3 linked regions of the Drosophila melanogaster genome follow. The main gene of each other region encodes a partner of the protein of the gene in region 3 in a complex. Each region holds a gene or a part of one and is shown on either strand. Other genes may lie near its edges.

Region 1 (7,412 bases), 4.0 Mb from region 3:
TAATCTTACCTTCATTGTAGCTCCGCACGTTGCGGACGAAACTGCTGCAGGACAACTCCCCGGCTGCGCCCAGTGGAGCCATCAACTACGATCCGTATGGCAATCCACAGCAATTTGACTACAGCGGCGGGAAAAAGCGCAAACTCTACTTCCTGTTCATGATCGTCGCGGGACAGGCGCTGTTCGCCTTCCTGCTCTCCAAGCACCTGTATCTGCCCGAGGCGGAGGTGCTGACGGTGCCCAAGACCTTCTAACCCACAGGCTTGATAGGTTAATTTGCATACTCCTTGAGTTAATCGTGGCCAGGGTGGCCACTCACATGTCGAACGATTCCACAGAGCCTAGGCATTGTGTTTTCCAGCATGAAGTTTGTGGTTGTCTCATTTGAGACTCGAGCGAGAGAAGCATATTTTTGTTAGAAACAAACACATTTTATAAATAAATACCAGCTATGAAAACTAATTTTTTATATAATTTTATTGAAATTTTAGTCTTTTTTTACTGTAACGTGTTCTTGGTTGGTTTTGCTTGCTCGGCTCATTGTTAACTTATTGGCTAACATCGCAAGGTGCCGACTGTTGTTTCTCCTGGCTCGTTATAAAATATATGTGTGAAATGTTTGTTGCTGTGTTGGTTCGGGTTTCAGATTTCAAATTTCCGATCACCGATTTCCGGTTCCTGTCTGCATTTAGTCTAATTTGTTCGGTTGTCGTCTGCATGCTAAAACGTTGCACTCGGCGGCTTGCATCAAAAAATAAAAGGCATACGAATCCATAGTATTAGTAATGATAACAGTTCCTACTTTAGGTTAGTTCGTGAGTTTACATAGTTAGATAGTTCGTCGTTGGTTAGTTTGGGGCCTCGACCGCAACTCAGTACATAGCACGATGTGTAAAGACGTCCACTTCTCATTCCCTTCCACTCCATTCCTCTATTTGATTCTGTTTATTTTAGTTCGCTAATGCAGTTCACTTCTTCGTTCTTTTGCTTTATTTATCGTGTGTAGTGTAGGCTAGCACTTAGTAAATAGTTATAAACATGCTTTGCTTTGTTTTCAACAAATTCCACGTACTAAAAAAATAATACATTTACAACTAATAATTTAGATTAAACATATACGTTTGTTCTGTTGCCTGATGATGCTGCGTATATAGATCGTAGTTATGTTTTACATAGCTATATATCGTATATATACATATATGTATATATGTATATATATTACGGGTGTACGGTGTGTCGTGTGTGGTTCATAAACTCATTTAGGCTACATTTGGAATACAAAATACGCAACATAAAACCTTTAAAACTCTTGCTCCTATCAATAAATTACCGAAATCAATCGCCTAGCTTTAACCTAGATCACCGACTGCTTCTGTTGCTGCTCCTGCTCCTGCTGCTTGACAAGATTACGCTGATAGTTGACCAAGTCCACTTTATTGAACTAAATTACCGTCCCGCCGGGCGCCGCCGCCTGTCCAGGTGACAAGTGCTGAGTGGCGTGCTGTCAAAGAAGGGTATATCATTAAAAATATTGCCCGCTTCGAGTCTATAGAATCAAGGTGTCGCACTCACCGTGGCATGACCTGGCCGCGCCCAGGTGTAGATGAATCCATCCTGGCACGCCGTCAGGAAGCAGTCCTCGCGAAAGATCAGCGCCGTCAGCCGCTCGTGGGCGATCTTCTTGCAGACCAGCGGCTCCAGCAGTGGGCACTCATCGAAACGGGGGCAGGCAGGAGTTCCGATAAGCTGCATGGGATCGAAGCTGCTGACACCGGAGCCAGAGCCCGCTGCAGATCCCGACGCATGGGCGGCTGTGGCCAATGAGGAGTGGTGCGAGGACCGGCTCAGTTTCAGTGATCCGAAACTATGCGCCGTCGAGCTGCTGCCAATGGCCCCGGCTGCATTCGAATCCAGAGTGCTCGAGTGGCCAAAGTTGGAGGAGCTGCTGTTGTTACTCTGGCTGTGGTTGTTGTGTCCGCCAGTGTGGTTGTGTTGGTTGTAGCTCTTCAGCATGCTCATTGCCTTGCGGTGCTGACGGTGCGCGGTGGAATGGCTTCCCTCATAGCCAGCGCCCTTCTTTTCCGAGCTGCTCAGGAAACTGAAGTTCGAGAGACGCTGCGTGAGGCTGTTGAAGGCGCTGAAGCCGCTGCCCGAGTTGGAGGACTTGTTCGAGCTGTTGGAAGTCTTGCTGTTGTATCCCGATGTAGTCTGCGACGGCCTCTGTCCACTCCCGCTGCCGCCGCCTCCGTCAATGCTGTCTGACTTGGTGGCGCTGATGCAGTTGGGGAATTTGATTGAGTTGCCAGTGCCATGGTTGCGGTTGTTCTGCTTCGTTGAGGCCACCGCTCCCGCTCCAGCCACCGAGCCTGCGCCCGCATTCGATGAAGTTGAGGCGGGAGTGGCTGCCTCGGTGTCGCAGTCGTCGGGCGAGGATTGCGAGGATATCGTGCAGTTGGCGGTTGAGAACTTGCTGGAACTGCTATTGCTGTGCTCGCCAGCACCGTTCCCTGTGCCTCCGCCCGCTGCTTCCCGTGTTGGACTACAGCTGCCCGATTCCGCTTGCTGTCCAGTCGCTTGACCAGACATGGCCACTGGTCGGATTACCTTTATGCCGTCTTCTGCTTCCGCTTCTTCGTCGACACCACCGTTGAGATAGGCCCTTTCACTGTTAGCGGGCTGCCTTAACACCAATGGGTGGCGTAGAACGTCCTCCGTGATGTCCCATAGGCAGATCTGGGTATCCTGACTGACGGAGCCAAGTCTATAACTCATTAGCTTTTCGGCCGAAGAAGCGTCCGAGCGAAAGGAGGCCGAGTGTGGTCCGTTGCGGTCAGCGTGAACGGGTGTGGAGTTTCGGTCGAAACCCTCGAAGCCACCGTTGGCCGTGGAATCTCCGGAGAAGCGCGCCTCTCGCGAATGGGAGTACTCGTTCATTTGATTCTCATCGTCGCTGAAGTCGCCGCCATCCCAGTTTGTGTACGAGGTGGTATACGGGTCAAACGCTACCACAGAGACCCAGGACCGATGGCCCTGTCCGCGAGCCACTACACGTCGCTCGTGGAGCGACCACACAGTCACCAGGTCATCCTCGCCACCCACGACAATGTACTTGCCGTCAGGGGACCAGCACACGCAGAGGAAGCCGCCAAAGTAGGAGCGTGCGATTCCGAGCAGCTCCATGGTGTCGTAGTGAAAGACGCGCAGGAAACCGTCCTGGGAAACCACCGCCAAGTGAGATCCGCAAGGCGAGAAGCAGAACTCATTGACGCAGCAGTTGTCGGTGCTGAAGACCCACTTGAAGAGCGGGTTCCTTGTGGTCTTGGACTTGCTGGTGAGTATCGTGTAGCCGTCGCCAAGCTTGAAGGGCTGATAGCTGGGCGCTGTGGCGGCGCAGGGTAGTTCCTCGTTGTACAGGTACAGGTGACCTGAGGCGTGGGCGGCGAGGAACAGGTGCGGTGAGTTGGGTAGCCACTTTAGGCAGGTCACTTTGGTCTTGTCGATCAGTCGCTGAAAAACACACATAATAATCAGTTTGCTTTGAAGGGCTATATATATATATATCTCAGGTGGAACACTCACCTCCTCGTTGAAGAGCTTCCTCACTTCCCGAGGACCAACGTGCGGGGAGACCAGCTGGATTTGACCTGTGGTGAAGCCCACCAGAAGGGGCGCTCCCGTGGGCGTGGCCGAGCTTATGTTGAAGTCGTGGCAGCTGGGATTGGTGCCCTTGTAGAACTTCTTATCGATCGGCTTGCTCATCTCCGTGCCCTGAAAGTAAGTCAACAAGAGTCACTATCATCTGTTTATATTTATCTTAGTCGTTCTGAATTGCGTTACGTTTTCCTATTGTAAACCTAAAGAGGCAAGAAACTCTTTGAAATAAAACGTTCACTGAATGGAAGCCAAGTTTATATAATATCTTGTGACCAAGATGGAAATGTTTATAAGCTGTCCACCCTATTGATATCATAAGCTCGATGCTTTGTGCAACAAGATGCTATTGGATGAGAGCTTGTATAAACAAATCACTGAAATATAAGTCATCATCATAGAATAATTTTCAAGATTAAGAATATGAATGCAGTGAAAGTCAAATGGCAAAGCGGAACAGGCTCAAATAATTTCGTTTGAGCCAAGTTTGGAATGGAAGAATACGTTCAGTGGGTTGAAATAAGATTGGAAATTAACACATTCGGAAAGCGGAGTGGAAATTAACAGCTTGTTGGCGGAATCAGGTGGGAAAAGCTCTATGCAAGCCTTGCCAAGTTCTCGCCAGCAGATAACTATGGCAACAAAGAAGCCAGCTAAAGCAAATACATAAGGAGAATCGCAAGCTGTTGCCGCACAGAATGCCAAAGAATTAGAAACAGCTGCTGGGCAGGGGAAACAGGGCAAACACAAGCGACGCGATGAGCAATTCGGATGGTCGAAAGCCGCACCAGGATTACTCTATCGGAATGTTCGTTGACTACAGCAGGTGCAAACAAAAGTTAGGGTAATCCGCGCGCAGGGATGAGCTGAAACCGCTCACAACCGACTGCCTTCGAGCGCAATAAACATTCATAAAAACGCCAAACAAGCGAATTGATCATCAAGCGCTCGAAGTGGAGCAAATTAAGCACACTGGGGGGACACTGCATGCAAATGGCAAGGTATTTTAGGCCCTCGCCAATTGGCTGGTGCAATCCGCCTGGAATGCAATTGCCGGCAGCCTCTATTCTATCTCTGGTGTGATAAGCTCGCTGCACCGCCACCTGCACCATTTCTCCTCCATCGCACGTGCTTGCGCATGGAGACTATCTCTGGCCGACAATGTTTACCTTCTTGGCTCCGCGAAAGGAGTAAACGTAGAGATCTCGTCCGAAGTTGAAGCATATGCGATCGCCTCCTAGGACCTGATTGGTGGCCACGCCATTCTGGTCGACGACGCCGCCGTTCATCATGGAGTGCATGGATATGCCGCCGCCCAGACGCGCCTCCACAGTGTTGTTTCCGGCACTGTTGCTGTTGTGGTTGCTGTGGCTATAGTCACCGCCAGCGCCTCCATTCGATATTGCTGTGCTGGCTCCGGCTGCTCCCGTAGGCGACGCTCCCGGCGAGCTGCCATTCGTTGTGGTGGTGTTGGCTCCTGCTGTTCCGCCGCCCACAGGTGTGCCCACGCCCACATCCGAGCCGAGCTTGCCCTGCGCCGGACTGGGCAGGGTCACCATGGAGACGCGCACCTGCGGCGAGCTCTGGTTGCTGCTGTAGCCCACCCGGTTGGGCCGCGAGTATTCCGAGAGGGTCAGCAGGCGGTAGGTGCCCTCGCGGGTGACGAACTGCGTCTTCAGGTCGTCCTTCACACTGGCGTCCAGTTGGTTGGCCATCGCTGGTGCGGCTCCCGCTTCTGCTCCTCTGCTGCTGCTGCGCCTTCGCCGATCCACCGATCCACTCGGCACTCAGCCCATGTGAATGCCAGGTGCCAGTGGTGCTAGTGGTGGCTCTGCGGGCGCTGCAGTTGCTCCTACCCAGCCACGAAAATCGCTGGCTGTCGCCGCTAATTAAGCGCCGCGGGGTTGGGCTTGCCCTTCACTTGTTTTCTTCTTATAATTAGATTTAATTCCTTCACTACACCGAGTTTCGTGGGGCTGTGCTTGCACTGTTGTTGTTTCTGCCGTTGCAGCTGCGTTCGCCAAGTTTTCCGAGTTTTCCGGCCACTGCGCTGGTTGCCTGCATCACGGCGTGGTGGCGGCGGGGTAAGGGTGACGGGGATCGCGGTTATCGCATCGGCCGCACGCTTGCTTTTATTCCGCACAAATTACTTAATTTATTTCTAATTTCTGATTGGGCTTAGCGATGTGAGAAAACGTCGATACTTTCCGTCGATACTGTTCGATGTTCGAAGAGCTGGATTTACAACGCTCCAAAGACTGGTCACTCTTAACGATTTAAGGCCGAAATATATAAATTGCTTTTGTTATTACTTTCTTAAGACAAGTGCACTTAAAGATTTAGCATCTTATGTATAAAATATTTACGAGCATTATCATTGAAACAAAATATTTCCAGTGAAGGCAGCCAGACTGTCCAAAATAGTTTGCAATCAATGATGCCAATATTTTTAATAATGGGCAGCATTAAAACGCTTGGCGCGTAATTTGAATTTCATGATATTCATAAATTCCATTTTTTTTTATGAAAAATATGAAAATAATAAAGTTCTAACTTTAATGTTAAAGTTTTTAGTTATATAACCTAACTTTGGTTATTTTGTAAGTCCATTTTATGATTCCTTTTTCCTTTTTGAACTTTTCCAGTATTCATTTTTTTTGGTTTATCAATGGACAACCAACAAAATAAACAACATTCGACAGAAACCAATGACAGTGACTTGCGTTATTCCAGCCACTGGTAGTGTGTGTGTGGTGTTAGCCGGAAATGCATTTGGCATGTCCTGCGAAATTGGCCAGTGAAGAAGAAGAAGAATGAAGCTGCTGTTTTGCTGCCCTTCCGCCTTTTACTTGCTCCCATTTTCTCGTTACTTTGCACTGCCAATTGCATTGAAGTTCCCAGCTAAATCTCGTTTGGGACACATGTCTTTTGTCTTGGCATTGTCACCCTAGGAATTCCACCCCCCCCCCCCCCCATCAGCTTAGTCCGACCAAGTGGGATGGGCAAACAAGCGACGACCTCGAGCAGCGCATCGAACTCGAATCAATCAAGAGCGATTGATAAGAATGGCCACTTGAGGGGCCGGACTGCTTGTATAAAAACCATCTGCAACAGCAGGAAAATTAACCACTTTCACTAAAACCATGCATCCGCAAGGTGAGTATATGCCCTCGCTATTCGTCGCAATTCGAAGGACTAAAGCTGATTATATCCGATTAGCTTTTTCCTGGTCACTGGCATGCTGCCTTGTGCTGCTCCTGCTTCCGTCCGGAATCCGCTCGATGTGCAACGACTCCACTGAGCCGGGATGCCTCCACCCGGCGGAGCTGCAAATCCCCCAGCGTTATTGTTTGGACCCCACCAAGTACTGGCTCTGCAGCGCCATCAACTCGCAGGCGCACCTTCATAAGTGCCAGCCCAACACCGGATTCGATCAGGACCTCAACGCCTGTGTGCCATGGACCGCCTGGGAGTGGAAGCCATGCCAGGAGCCGCCCAGTCGTCCTCCTGGATGGAGTGGATGCTAAAAGAGTGAGCAAGTCCGTGTTGCTTGGCCACAATAATGGATTTAGGCTTAAACTAAAAATTATGTTTCACAGTTTAAATTTTGGTCATTTCTCTGATAAATGAAAATTTCCTTACTCTTCTTTATTACAATTAAAAAATTGTTGTGTTGGGTATAATAAAAAGCATAAAAAAAAAGGGAAATTAACACGTATAATTTGCATTTCAGTATAGAAAAACTATATTAAATACATGCT
Region 2 (5,617 bases), on a different chromosome or scaffold from region 3:
CCCTGGATCTGTACTGGGTGTGCGAGCGGGAGCGGGAGAACATGTACCTTACCCTCAAGCCCTTCGAGGAGGTGCGGGTGAACACGTTCACCACACACAGCTGGCTGTTCCGGGATTACTACACGGGCGAACGGATGCACGTACGCTCGCAGAGGATCTTTCAGCCGATTCGGGTGCGGGTACCCAAGAGCCAGCAGAGTCCGGATCAGCTGGTTGACGTACGCAGCGAAGTGCTGATCCACTTTCCGATGAGATCGCTGCGCGAAAACTGCCTCTGGCTGGTCGCCCGCTGGCTGATCCGGACGAGCAACGCGCCACGGAGGATTATCCACGGATACCACATACCCTCGACGCTGAAGCAACAGCTGCTCAGCCTGCTGACCTGCATCGAGTCCTATTCCCGAGTGGCGGGCACGCGACGTCGGCGTTAGGAGCACACTCCTAGTTGTTAGTTAAGAGGGCGGGTAATCATCTTAGGGACTGAGAGACAGGCTTGATTTCCAAATAATTTAATAACTTTAATTGATTTCCATCCTGGTTTTCGATTTTCGCTTATTACTTATGTACAAATTGGCTTGCATAGAGCTCTTTACAAGTTGGGCTACTACCATTGCATTGATTTTTCTGTATATTTAACAGATTTCTTATACCTATGTATGTTCTATGTAAATAATTATGTATAAACCTAATGTGAAACAAGTGTGAATATTACATACATACATATATGCGCAATACTCTAGGTCTAGTTGCTTCAGATGCAAATACGATTTAATGGTATGTCTGCAGTTACTCCTTTGCAATGCTTATCTACGTGTGTCGCAAGCCTAATTGTTATAAGTCTGAATCTGAAGTACATATTTATTCCTAACGAGAAGTGAACAAACAAAAGTACTCCGGTGCACTTTTAAATTTAAAGTTAACGCTCGTACAGATTCTCCTTGAATGTGTTTGTGTTTGTCCACGAGTCGAGTCGAGAAGAGATGAGACGAATCGCAGGTTAACTCAAATATATTGCAAAATCAACTTATAAAAATATAAATTGTTAATCGATCTGCTCAATCTCGTTCTCATTCAATAATGCATCGGTACTGCTTCGGTTAGGCGGGAGATCACTTGCCAGCGTTCAATACTTGCGCGTCACGCGCTCCAAGCTATCCCCGATCGAACCTATGGGGCGGATATATATAAGCACAACTCTCGGTTAGGCAATAGCAATTGCAGAAATCAAGTATGCGTTGTGTTTGTGATAGGTGTTCTTGTGTTGTTCAATGCGTGGGCTCTCTTATTTACCATCGTAGTTGAAATTCTGTTTGGTCTTGTACTGAAACGTTAGATCGGTCGACTGCTTCCAGATAAAGTGGCGCACCGTGCGCAGGTCCATGTTGGGGTCCACAACCTTTAAAGGAAAGGCGGTGAACAAGGTCCTTTAAATGAGATTTGTCCATTTGTCTTACCACATCGTTACACCACAGTTCAATTCGTTCCTCAGCTGGCAGTTGGGATCCCTCCGAATTAGCATCGCTCTGGCTATTCTGCAGTGAATTGTTAGCATTGCCCCCACTTGGGGTAGTTTCCGCATTCAGCACCTTTTCAAGCACGTGCTCGCAGACCTTGCGACACTGAATAAATTCATTAGCCACAAGACGATCCTAAAAAATTTAATATAAATTGCGTTAGAACATGAGTTTTGTTTGCTGTCAAGGACGGCTACCTTCTTCGTTCGTTCAGGCTTGGTCATTTGCGGGTGAGGCTGCAGGAAGAACGGTATTTTGAGGAACTTGGGAATGTTCTTCTCGATCACCACGTCGGTCACCCACTGAGGCGCCGTTTCGTGGAGCAGGGTACTTTCGCTATCGCCAGCTGCGTCGCGTACCAAAAGTCGGCAAACAGTGCGGCCACCCACTTCACTGTTTAATTTAGCCAGAAATTTGAGAAATTAGTTATGGTGCAGATAAGGTTATATCACAGTCACTAACCTAAAGATGACGGGCGTGTGCTTGGGCACTTGGAAGTAGCCATTGCCGTGCATATCGGGTTCCATTTCGTTTGGTGGTATGCTATGCGGTGGTGTCCAGTACTCTAGCAGGGCTTCTAAAAGTAATTTGCCATAGTTGATCTATAAAAAAACAAAGCATTTTAAATGGCATTTAATATGTGAAGGGGTCTGATGAGCGATCAACCTTAATCTCTGTTGTGGGATCGACGCACTCCGGCAGTCCAGCTTCAATGGAAACCCAAGCGGAAAAGCAATCCACTTCCTCCTGACCCAATACAATCGTTGGCATCTGCAAAGCATAATTAAGTATAAACGAACTTAAGCTTCAATAGAGCTTAGCTTAACTCACCCCGGTTTTCAGATCAACAGTGAACCAGTTTGGAATGTAGACCTGCTTATTACGCTTCTTCACCTCCGCTTCGAAATCAACAGCGCCCAATTGCTCTTTTTTGACAACTCTCAGCACATCGTACACCACGACCTGATCTTGTGAGTCCTTGGTTATGATATAACGTTTGTCGTTCAGCACCGCGCACTCCTTGATGGCGGCTCCACCTTTTATGCAGGCCACCTCAGTGCCGCCCTGTGTCCATTGTGCGTCCATTCCGCCCGAGGAATTTAGTGTGCACCTGTCGTACATGGGCAGCTTCCAACAGCGAATGTCCGAGTTCCAGGTGGTGGCCCACACCCCAGTCTTGTCGATGTTGTAGCCCAGACTCAGCACGGGCGCCTGCTCCTCGCACACAAGCGTTTTGTTACTAGGGTTCCGCATCTCGGTCACAATGATGTTGCGATCCCGACTGCCGGAGATGATGTACTGGAAGTTCTCGCTCATCAGCAGCGACCACACGCCCTCCTTGTGCACGTGGATGGTTTGAACACAGCGCTGTTGGCCCAGGTTCCACACCTTGATCGTGCCGTCGGAACTGCCAGACACCACCTGGTTTCCATCGGGCGACACCACCAAGCAGCGCACGTTCTCCGTATGGCCTCGCAGCTTCATTCTGCGCATACAGGTGCGGGGATCCCAGATACGCAGTATATTCTCCGTGGACCCGCTCACAATCACGGTGCCCGATGGATTCATGGCCAAGCTGTAGATTGAGTCCTTGGACCCGGTTAGACTAGAGGTGGTAACCGTGTTATTGCTCGCCGTGAGCGCGGTCAGTGTGTTCACGTCCCACAGGAAGATGGCCTTGTCCAGTCCAGCGCTGGCCACCTGTTCCCGATCCTTGGCGTAGGCCAACGCCTGCACGTAGTCGCGATGGGTCCGCAGGGTGGACATGCAGAAGCCTTTCTGGGCGTTCCACACCTTCACCGTGGTATCACAGCTGGCGCTAATAACTATGAGTGCAAAAGATTGAATGTTTGAATGAATGCCTAAACTGATCGGTGGAGCAACTCACGGTTCCTGCCATTACAGCAAAGTACTATGTCGTTGACCCAGTCGTTGTGGTGCTCCATCGATTGTATGTACTTCTCGCTGGAGTCCGTCCGTGTATTCCACACACGGATTATGGCGTCGCGACCGGCGGAGTACAACTTGCCGTTATTGGCATCCAGCTGCAGAGCGTTTACGCCATTCCGGTGCTGTTTCTCCTCGGCGTCCCGTATCACGAAGGAAACCTGGCGTCCGACGGTTTAATTGAATTAGTTTGGGCTTAGGTGTCCGCTTTCCTTCCCGTTTTCAATTGGCGCACTCACCTGCATTTTCTTACGTGCCTGACAAGTTTTGTGCGTCAACATGTCGTCCACGGATCTGCTGCACTGTGGCTCTCGGCGATATCTCTGGACTGAAGTGCTTCAGGAGCTGGCGTTGGTTGTTCTCTGCTCGCGGGGCGCGCACATTTATCGACGTTGCTTTGGGGCGGCTGATATTTACTTTTTGCAAATTGAAATTGAGGAATTTCCAGGCAACTACAAATTTTTCGCACCTATTTCGCTCTCTGTCTCTCCCCATTCGGTCCTCCCACCTCTCAGGCACTCCTCCACTCATTCTCCTGCGCCGGCTGGTGTTGCCACCTGGTTGTGCACACCGTGCCGGCTGTTCAACAGAGTTGACACTTCTTGTTCAGAAAGGTGACTCGTTCCGGAACCACTAAACTTAAAAATTCGAAAATTTTTAAAAAACCAGCCAAGAAAATAACTATAACATTTGTTTTTAATTGTACATTCAGGAAATATCGGGGCTAATGTTATGCAAATACGCAAAACGCCCACTAACATGAGCGCTCCAAGCGTTAAAGCCCTTGATAACAAGTACTCTCCCTGTCAGATATGTACATTTATATATTAGGATCTCTCAGACATTGACATATTATATTGGTCAAAACATTTACATCTTTATACACATATCTACCTAGAACCAGTGATATACCATCTGCAGAGTGTCCGCGAAGACCGACATAACTTTCACATATATCGCGACCTGGCAGCCCTATTCTTTACATAACAAGAAGAAGAAGACTCGTCGACCTCACCGGGATCCAAAAACTTAATTGCATTTTCACCGATAATAATGGCCGGGACACAGTCAAAAGACGCCTGCAGCATATGCGACAAAGTGGGCCTCAAGCCCTTCACCCGGGATAATGTGTTCAACTACTACATACCGCTGCACGGCCTGGTGAGCTACGGAGCCCTTGCGGTGAATGTTATGAACCCCCAGATCGTGCCCAAAATCCTGCCCAAGAAGGACCTGACGAACGTGTTCCTCATCTCCGCGGTGGTGGGCAGTGCCTTCTACATTTACGGCAGGCCCCACCTGAAGGACGTGAAGAACAACAAGCGAGGTGCGTACGCCCTGCTGGGCGCCACCCTATTCTCCATGGGATCCGTTCTGGCCTGGGCGCTCATCAAGTCCGCCCTGCCACAGGACAATGCACTGCTGGCGACCCTGGCGGGCTTGGGAACTGGCGCCGCCATCGTGAAGGTCGGCACTGATTACATTCAGGACGTGGATAAGCTGCAGAAGAACTAGATGATCTGATCGATACGATATAGGACTGAGGTATTCGAACCCAAAAGTGGGTTCGTACTGTAATTGCTGTCTTGGCCGTACATAGCTCGTAATGCAATATTATCTCCCGCATATTTGAATAAAATTATACTATAAACCCGACTGAGCGGTGTGTTTTGCTGTGTCAAGAGATGGATAATGCCGGGTGTAGATTGAAAATGTTTGCGTTTATTTTAAATTAAATGTACCTTTAATTGCCGTCTCTTAACTGCTAGTAATGCTTAACAATTGAATTGTTTTAATTTATGTTATGTATGTGTGGTATATGCGTTACCTTTATAAATGGTTACTTCGTTTATATAAAAACATCTAATCGGAAACGCCAATATGTACATTCTTGTCGGATTAAAACATTCTACAAATTGCCTTGGCGACTTTGAATTGACGACTACTTTATGGTAAATATATTCTTTTTGTATTGCGAATTATACACTTTAAACTTATTTTTAATTCTTGTATACATACTTTACAAACGCTCAATGGTCGGACTTAACTATCAATAAATCAGTATGTATATATATATATATACCATTATATATACTAAAAAAAATCATTGAAAATCGTTGCAACGGTTGTCTTCAAAAGGAAATGATTTTCGCGCT
Region 3 (4,836 bases):
GAATGCTTCTCCATGACACAGAGCCCATGACCAGATCCGCCGCATTAGCTACATATATGTGTAGTATCACCATGGTGTGCGTGCTGATGATAAGCGCACGGAGAATCAAATCGTGCGCCAGCCGATCAATAACCCAAAATGTAAACAAAACCAACTGTCGAACGCGGTCACGCATGCGTTCGAATAGCCTACTGAAATACTACCAATCGCAATTTGGCCCACTATTAGTTGGTTAACTGGTTTTCTTGCGAGGGGGAGAAGCTGACATTTCCAAGACGATCCGCATTCTATGCAGATTAGAGCCGCCACCGCCGAAAGGCAAGCGATTTTCCAGCTGCGCGAGCAGGAAACTCGTTCCGTTCGCAGGTTAATGACACAAACATTATGTTATTAATGCAGTTGCAGTATATGGCCATTAGCTAACAAAACCCCACCGATGAGCTAATGATGTACGAGCGGTCAGTCAGCAGGCACGCAATATAATCGCACTGAATTATCTACGGACAGGCAATTTCGAAACATCAAAGAATTCGAAAGAAGCTGACACAGCTGGACATGCGATGCGCAGCGAAATGGATATATTTTCAGTCTCAGTCTGCGGCAGAAGAAAGTGTGTGGAATTGAATTAACAAGACGGCAACAATTTCTAAACAAAAGCGTGTCTTAGAGGGCAATATATGTGGAAATTGTAGTAAAATTGATAAGCTCTTAAAATCTCATTAAAAATAAAACTATAATAATGAATCCAGAAGTTCCGAAGAGCATGTCAAAATAGCAACCCAGCCCTGAAGCTAACAGAAATTCAACACACCACTCGGCAGGCGAGTTACCGCTCTGGAAAAGCGATTTTCCAATGCGCAGGCTCACTCATCAGTCAGGAAATTACGGAAAAATGCGAGAGGGTGGAGAAATTGTGTGCGAGAGCGGAGCATAAATGAAAATGTGTTACAGCCACTTGGCTGGCAGGGAAGGAAGGTAGGGAATCTGCATAAACTGCCTATGCCACGTTATGATGAATCATCTGGTTGGGTTAGGCATGCCACATTTCACGTGAACTTCGGAGTGGGAGTTGGTGGAAATGGGTGGTTATCGGTGGTGGGCGGGGGTTCAGTCATTTGCCTGCCCAAAGGAGTGGAGTACATAAATGATGTATGACCCAAGCCAGACAGCGTGACTGCGGCTAATGGCAGCTGTTTTAGCTGGCCAACGACCATTTGGCAGACGTTCTACGGAAAGCATTCTTCGATTATTATCTATAATCAATACAAGAAGTTACGACAAACGACTTCCGGCATTACACAAACGAGAAAGGTTGCCCAAAATGGAAATCAATCGAGTCATTAGAAGGCGAGGGTCGCCACGCCACTGAAAATGCAAATGATTCGAAGTTTTTCTCCCAAGAACCATTGATTGGAAACGCTAGTCGAGGGGCTCCCAATCGCATCGATACGTCTGAATGCGCAGAAAAGATTTACGTGTGACTTCGGTTCCAAAAGCTTGATTATGACCACATATATTTCCATAAACAAAGCGAAGCTTTAGTCAGCGCCAAGCTCGAATTACTGTGTTTGTTTCTTTTTTTTTTTTTTTTGTATTTAACGTTTTCAGTATTTCGATATGGTGTTCCAAACGAGTTTAACGAAAAGACCTCAAAGATAGCCAAGTTAGTTCTTAGTCACTGCAAGGCACAGATACAATTCAACTTCCGCTAACTTTCATCAACAACAATGTTGAATCTGATTAAGATATCATACTACATTATTACAACGAAATGAGTACATTAAATAAGTTGGAGATTACTCCTAACATACTCTAATCCATGTTGTACAATAAGATTTAAAGTAAGCCATTAAAATGGTTTATACATACATATATCTTAGGAAAATGAAAGAGATGTTTAGAGTTACGGAAGTAGGCCTGCACTGCAGAACTCCAGTAGTGCACCTCGCTCGTGGCTAGCGATAATTATCAAGTTAATAACTCAACACTAATTAGTCAGGTGCTTTGATGGACGGTCGGGCTGGTGCGGGAGGGGCGGGGCAATGCGACCCTAGGTCGCGGACCAAAAACAAAAAGCCAGTATATCGCGCCGTCCAATGTGAAAACGAAAGCGATACGATTTTTTTTTGTCGGCGAGCAGGAAAATCGGCCGCTGGATGGGAAACGAAAATCAAAGTCGAGAAACGAAAAGCCCAGGTGGAATGCGGCGGAATGGGAAACTGGAGCTCTCGAAAGCAAACCAAATGCCAGGTAAATTAAATCGCAGCATCGGCGGCGGTAGCAAATCAACTTAATGACGATGGCTGGCAACTTTTCCAACAGTTTTTTCTTCCATTTTTTTTCTATTTTTTGTATTTTATCTGGCGATCGGATCGTGAGGTGAAATGAATTTAAGTTGCCTTTTTTAGGAGCCACAATAAAGGGGCTAAAAAATCGATGAGTGCTCAATTAACTGTTATTCGTAGTACGCCCACACACACACTCACGCGCGCGCACACATACAGATGCAGATACACTTGCAAATAAATAAAAATACATATGTATTACCTTTTTTAGTTGAACTTTTGGTGGCTTTTTGGCAATTGTCTCAACAAAACAACATCGTTTTCGCAATTGGGCCACTCCCACTACGATTTTTCGTTGCCAATATTACAATCCGGGCTTTATTTAGTTGCCCACCACTGTTAAATACAATTTACTTTTTGCAGTTATGTCAACTTCTCTCTTTCAGCGCGGCGTCCTTTGTTGTTGTCGTTGCAAAATTGTTCGTGTAAATTATGTACAATGGTGGTTGTTTCAGGTTGCAGGTGGTCTAAAACACTCGCGTTCGTTGGGTTTACGTGGTTTCGATTGCACTAGGTGCCGCACGCATAATTTGCAAATTGCAAATCGTCGTTTTCGTTTGTAATTTGGCTATTGGCTGGCTTTAACACGGAGAAAACTTTCGACGTTTCTTGTTGGTTTTCTTATAATGGTTGGATCGGCCAGTGTGTGCACACCGCGTCAAAAGTAAAACTCGGCGAACAGTTACTCGCATAGGGTGACCATCACATGGATGGTCATACAAAATAATGGTTACTACTGCAGGGCTTTGCCTGCAAATGCAGTGACATGGTCTGCCTAAGAAAGTAACAGTTCAATCACTGCTTTGCTGCCTGGGCTGCCAGGTAACAAAAAGTTATTAAAAACACAACTACTTCTCCTCTTAAGTTATTTGCAGCTAAATGGCAGAAAGTCTTTTATTTTCTACATCAATTGTAGACATTCATTTTACTTTAAAAACTATGTCCTTAAAAACATTTCTGGAATATCGATAGTTTCAGTTGACTTGGCAACCCTATTGCTGACGCCGCAATCAAAGGCCAACAAATTTGTTTACATCCAAAGAAATGCTAATAAATCATTTAATAGTCGTATTATTAATTAGTTTGGTAGGAACAGGAGGTGCAGAAGATGACGGACTTTGCAGTGCCGATCAAAAATCCTGTGCACAAAGTGAACCCGACCAAATAAACGAGGATGAATGTAAGCAACTTGTTGCCGGCTTCGATTAATTAATTAATCAATTAATTTAGTTAGCTTCAAGATACGTCGCCAGATCGAAAAAGCCAATGCCGACTACAAGCCGTGCAGCAGTGATCCCCAGGACAGCGACTGCTCCTGCCACGCAAATGTTCTGAAACGGGATCTCGCGCCCTACAAGTCAACAGGTGTCACCCGGCAGATGATCGAGAGTTCAGCGCGTTACGGCACCAAATACAAGATCTACGGACATCGCCTGTACCGGGATGCCAACTGCATGTTCCCAGCCCGCTGTGAGGGCATTGAACACTTCCTGCTGCCGCTGGTGGCTACGCTGCCCGACATGGACTTGATCATCAATACCAGGGACTATCCGCAGCTGAATGCGGCGTGGGGTAACGCGGCTGGTGGTCCCGTCTTCTCCTTCTCCAAGACAAAGGAGTACCGCGACATCATGTATCCAGCGTGGACATTCTGGGCCGGAGGACCGGCCACCAAGCTCCATCCTCGTGGCATTGGACGCTGGGATCAGATGCGCGAGAAGCTGGAGAAGCGAGCGGCAGCTATACCCTGGTCACAGAAACGCAGTCTGGGCTTCTTTCGCGGTTCACGCACCTCGGACGAACGTGATTCTCTTATTCTGCTCTCGCGCCGCAATCCGGAGCTAGTCGAGGCTCAATACACCAAAAATCAGGGCTGGAAGTCGCCTAAGGATACACTGGACGCACCGGCTGCTGATGAGGTGTCCTTCGAGGACCACTGCAAGTACAAGTACTTGTTCAATTTCCGCGGTGTGGCCGCCAGTTTTCGTCTGAAGCACTTGTTCCTCTGCAAGTCGCTGGTCTTCCATGTGGGCGACGAGTGGCAGGAGTTCTTCTACGACCAACTAAAGCCCTGGGTGCACTATGTGCCGCTCAAGAGCTACCCCAGTCAGCAGGAGTACGAGCACATCTTGTCCTTTTTCAAGAAAAACGATGCGCTGGCCCAGGAGATCGCTCAGCGTGGATACGACTTCATCTGGGAGCATTTGCGCATGAAGGACATCAAGTGCTATTGGCGCAAGCTGCTCAAGCGATATGTGAAGCTGCTGCAATACGAGGTTAAGCCGGAGGATCAACTTATTTACATAGGGCCTAAAAAGGATGAGCTGTAGCGAAATGAAATGTTATTGTGTTTAAGCATTTCTCATTTTGTATTAAGTTGCTTAGAGCAGCGTGAATCTCTCTGTCCGCATTCCATGCATTTTTGATGTCCAAGATTTAGAGAACAACTCGAATATTTTCCTATTTATATATATAGCATTTATACAATCTT

What was found. The genes of interacting proteins can lie anywhere in the genome.
Region 1: Usp12-46 (region 3) and CG6420 share a complex: the UniProt entries of both Drosophila melanogaster proteins name them as parts of the usp12-46 deubiquitylase complex.
Region 2: Usp12-46 (region 3) and CG9062 share a complex: the UniProt entries of both Drosophila melanogaster proteins name them as parts of the usp12-46 deubiquitylase complex.

The regions. Positions count from the first base shown.
Region 1 is NT_033777.3:26,719,347-26,726,758, forward strand, and holds CG6420 (uncharacterized protein), read right to left. Parts: upstream 5,871-7,412; 5' UTR 5,367-5,870; coding exon 4,821-5,366; intron 3,769-4,820; coding exon 3,580-3,768; intron 3,508-3,579; coding exon 1,573-3,507; intron 1,502-1,572; coding exon 1,442-1,501; 3' UTR 501-1,441; downstream 1-500. Other genes in the region: Yif1 (Yip1-interacting factor 1), read left to right, coding at 21-254; CG14244 (uncharacterized protein), read left to right, coding at 6,795-6,807, 6,871-7,178. UniProt on the Drosophila melanogaster protein: Regulatory component of the Usp12-46 deubiquitylase complex.
Region 2 is NT_033778.4:11,279,984-11,285,600, forward strand, and holds CG9062 (uncharacterized protein), read right to left. Parts: upstream 3,989-5,617; 5' UTR 3,931-3,988; exon of another isoform or gene 3,868-3,930; 5' UTR 3,743-3,867; coding exon 3,701-3,742; intron 3,623-3,700; coding exon 3,403-3,622; intron 3,341-3,402; coding exon 2,346-3,340; intron 2,286-2,345; coding exon 2,181-2,285; intron 2,117-2,180; coding exon 1,977-2,116; intron 1,908-1,976; coding exon 1,712-1,907; intron 1,650-1,711; coding exon 1,455-1,649; intron 1,397-1,454; coding exon 1,291-1,396; coding exon of another isoform or gene 1,283-1,290; exon of another isoform or gene 1,168-1,282; coding exon 1,124-1,167; 3' UTR 501-1,123; downstream 1-500. Other genes in the region: Vhl (von Hippel-Lindau), read left to right, coding at 1-431; CG13220 (uncharacterized protein), read left to right, coding at 4,515-4,976. UniProt on the Drosophila melanogaster protein: Regulatory component of the Usp12-46 deubiquitylase complex. activates deubiquitination by increasing the catalytic turnover without increasing the affinity of deubiquitinating enzymes for the substrate.
Region 3 is NT_033777.3:22,749,078-22,753,913, reverse strand, and holds the start of Usp12-46 (Ubiquitin-specific protease 12/46), read right to left. Parts: upstream 3,014-4,836; 5' UTR 2,548-3,013; intron 1-2,547. Other genes in the region: rumi, read left to right, coding at 3,390-3,525, 3,576-4,675. UniProt on the Drosophila melanogaster protein: Catalytic component of the Usp12-46 deubiquitylase complex.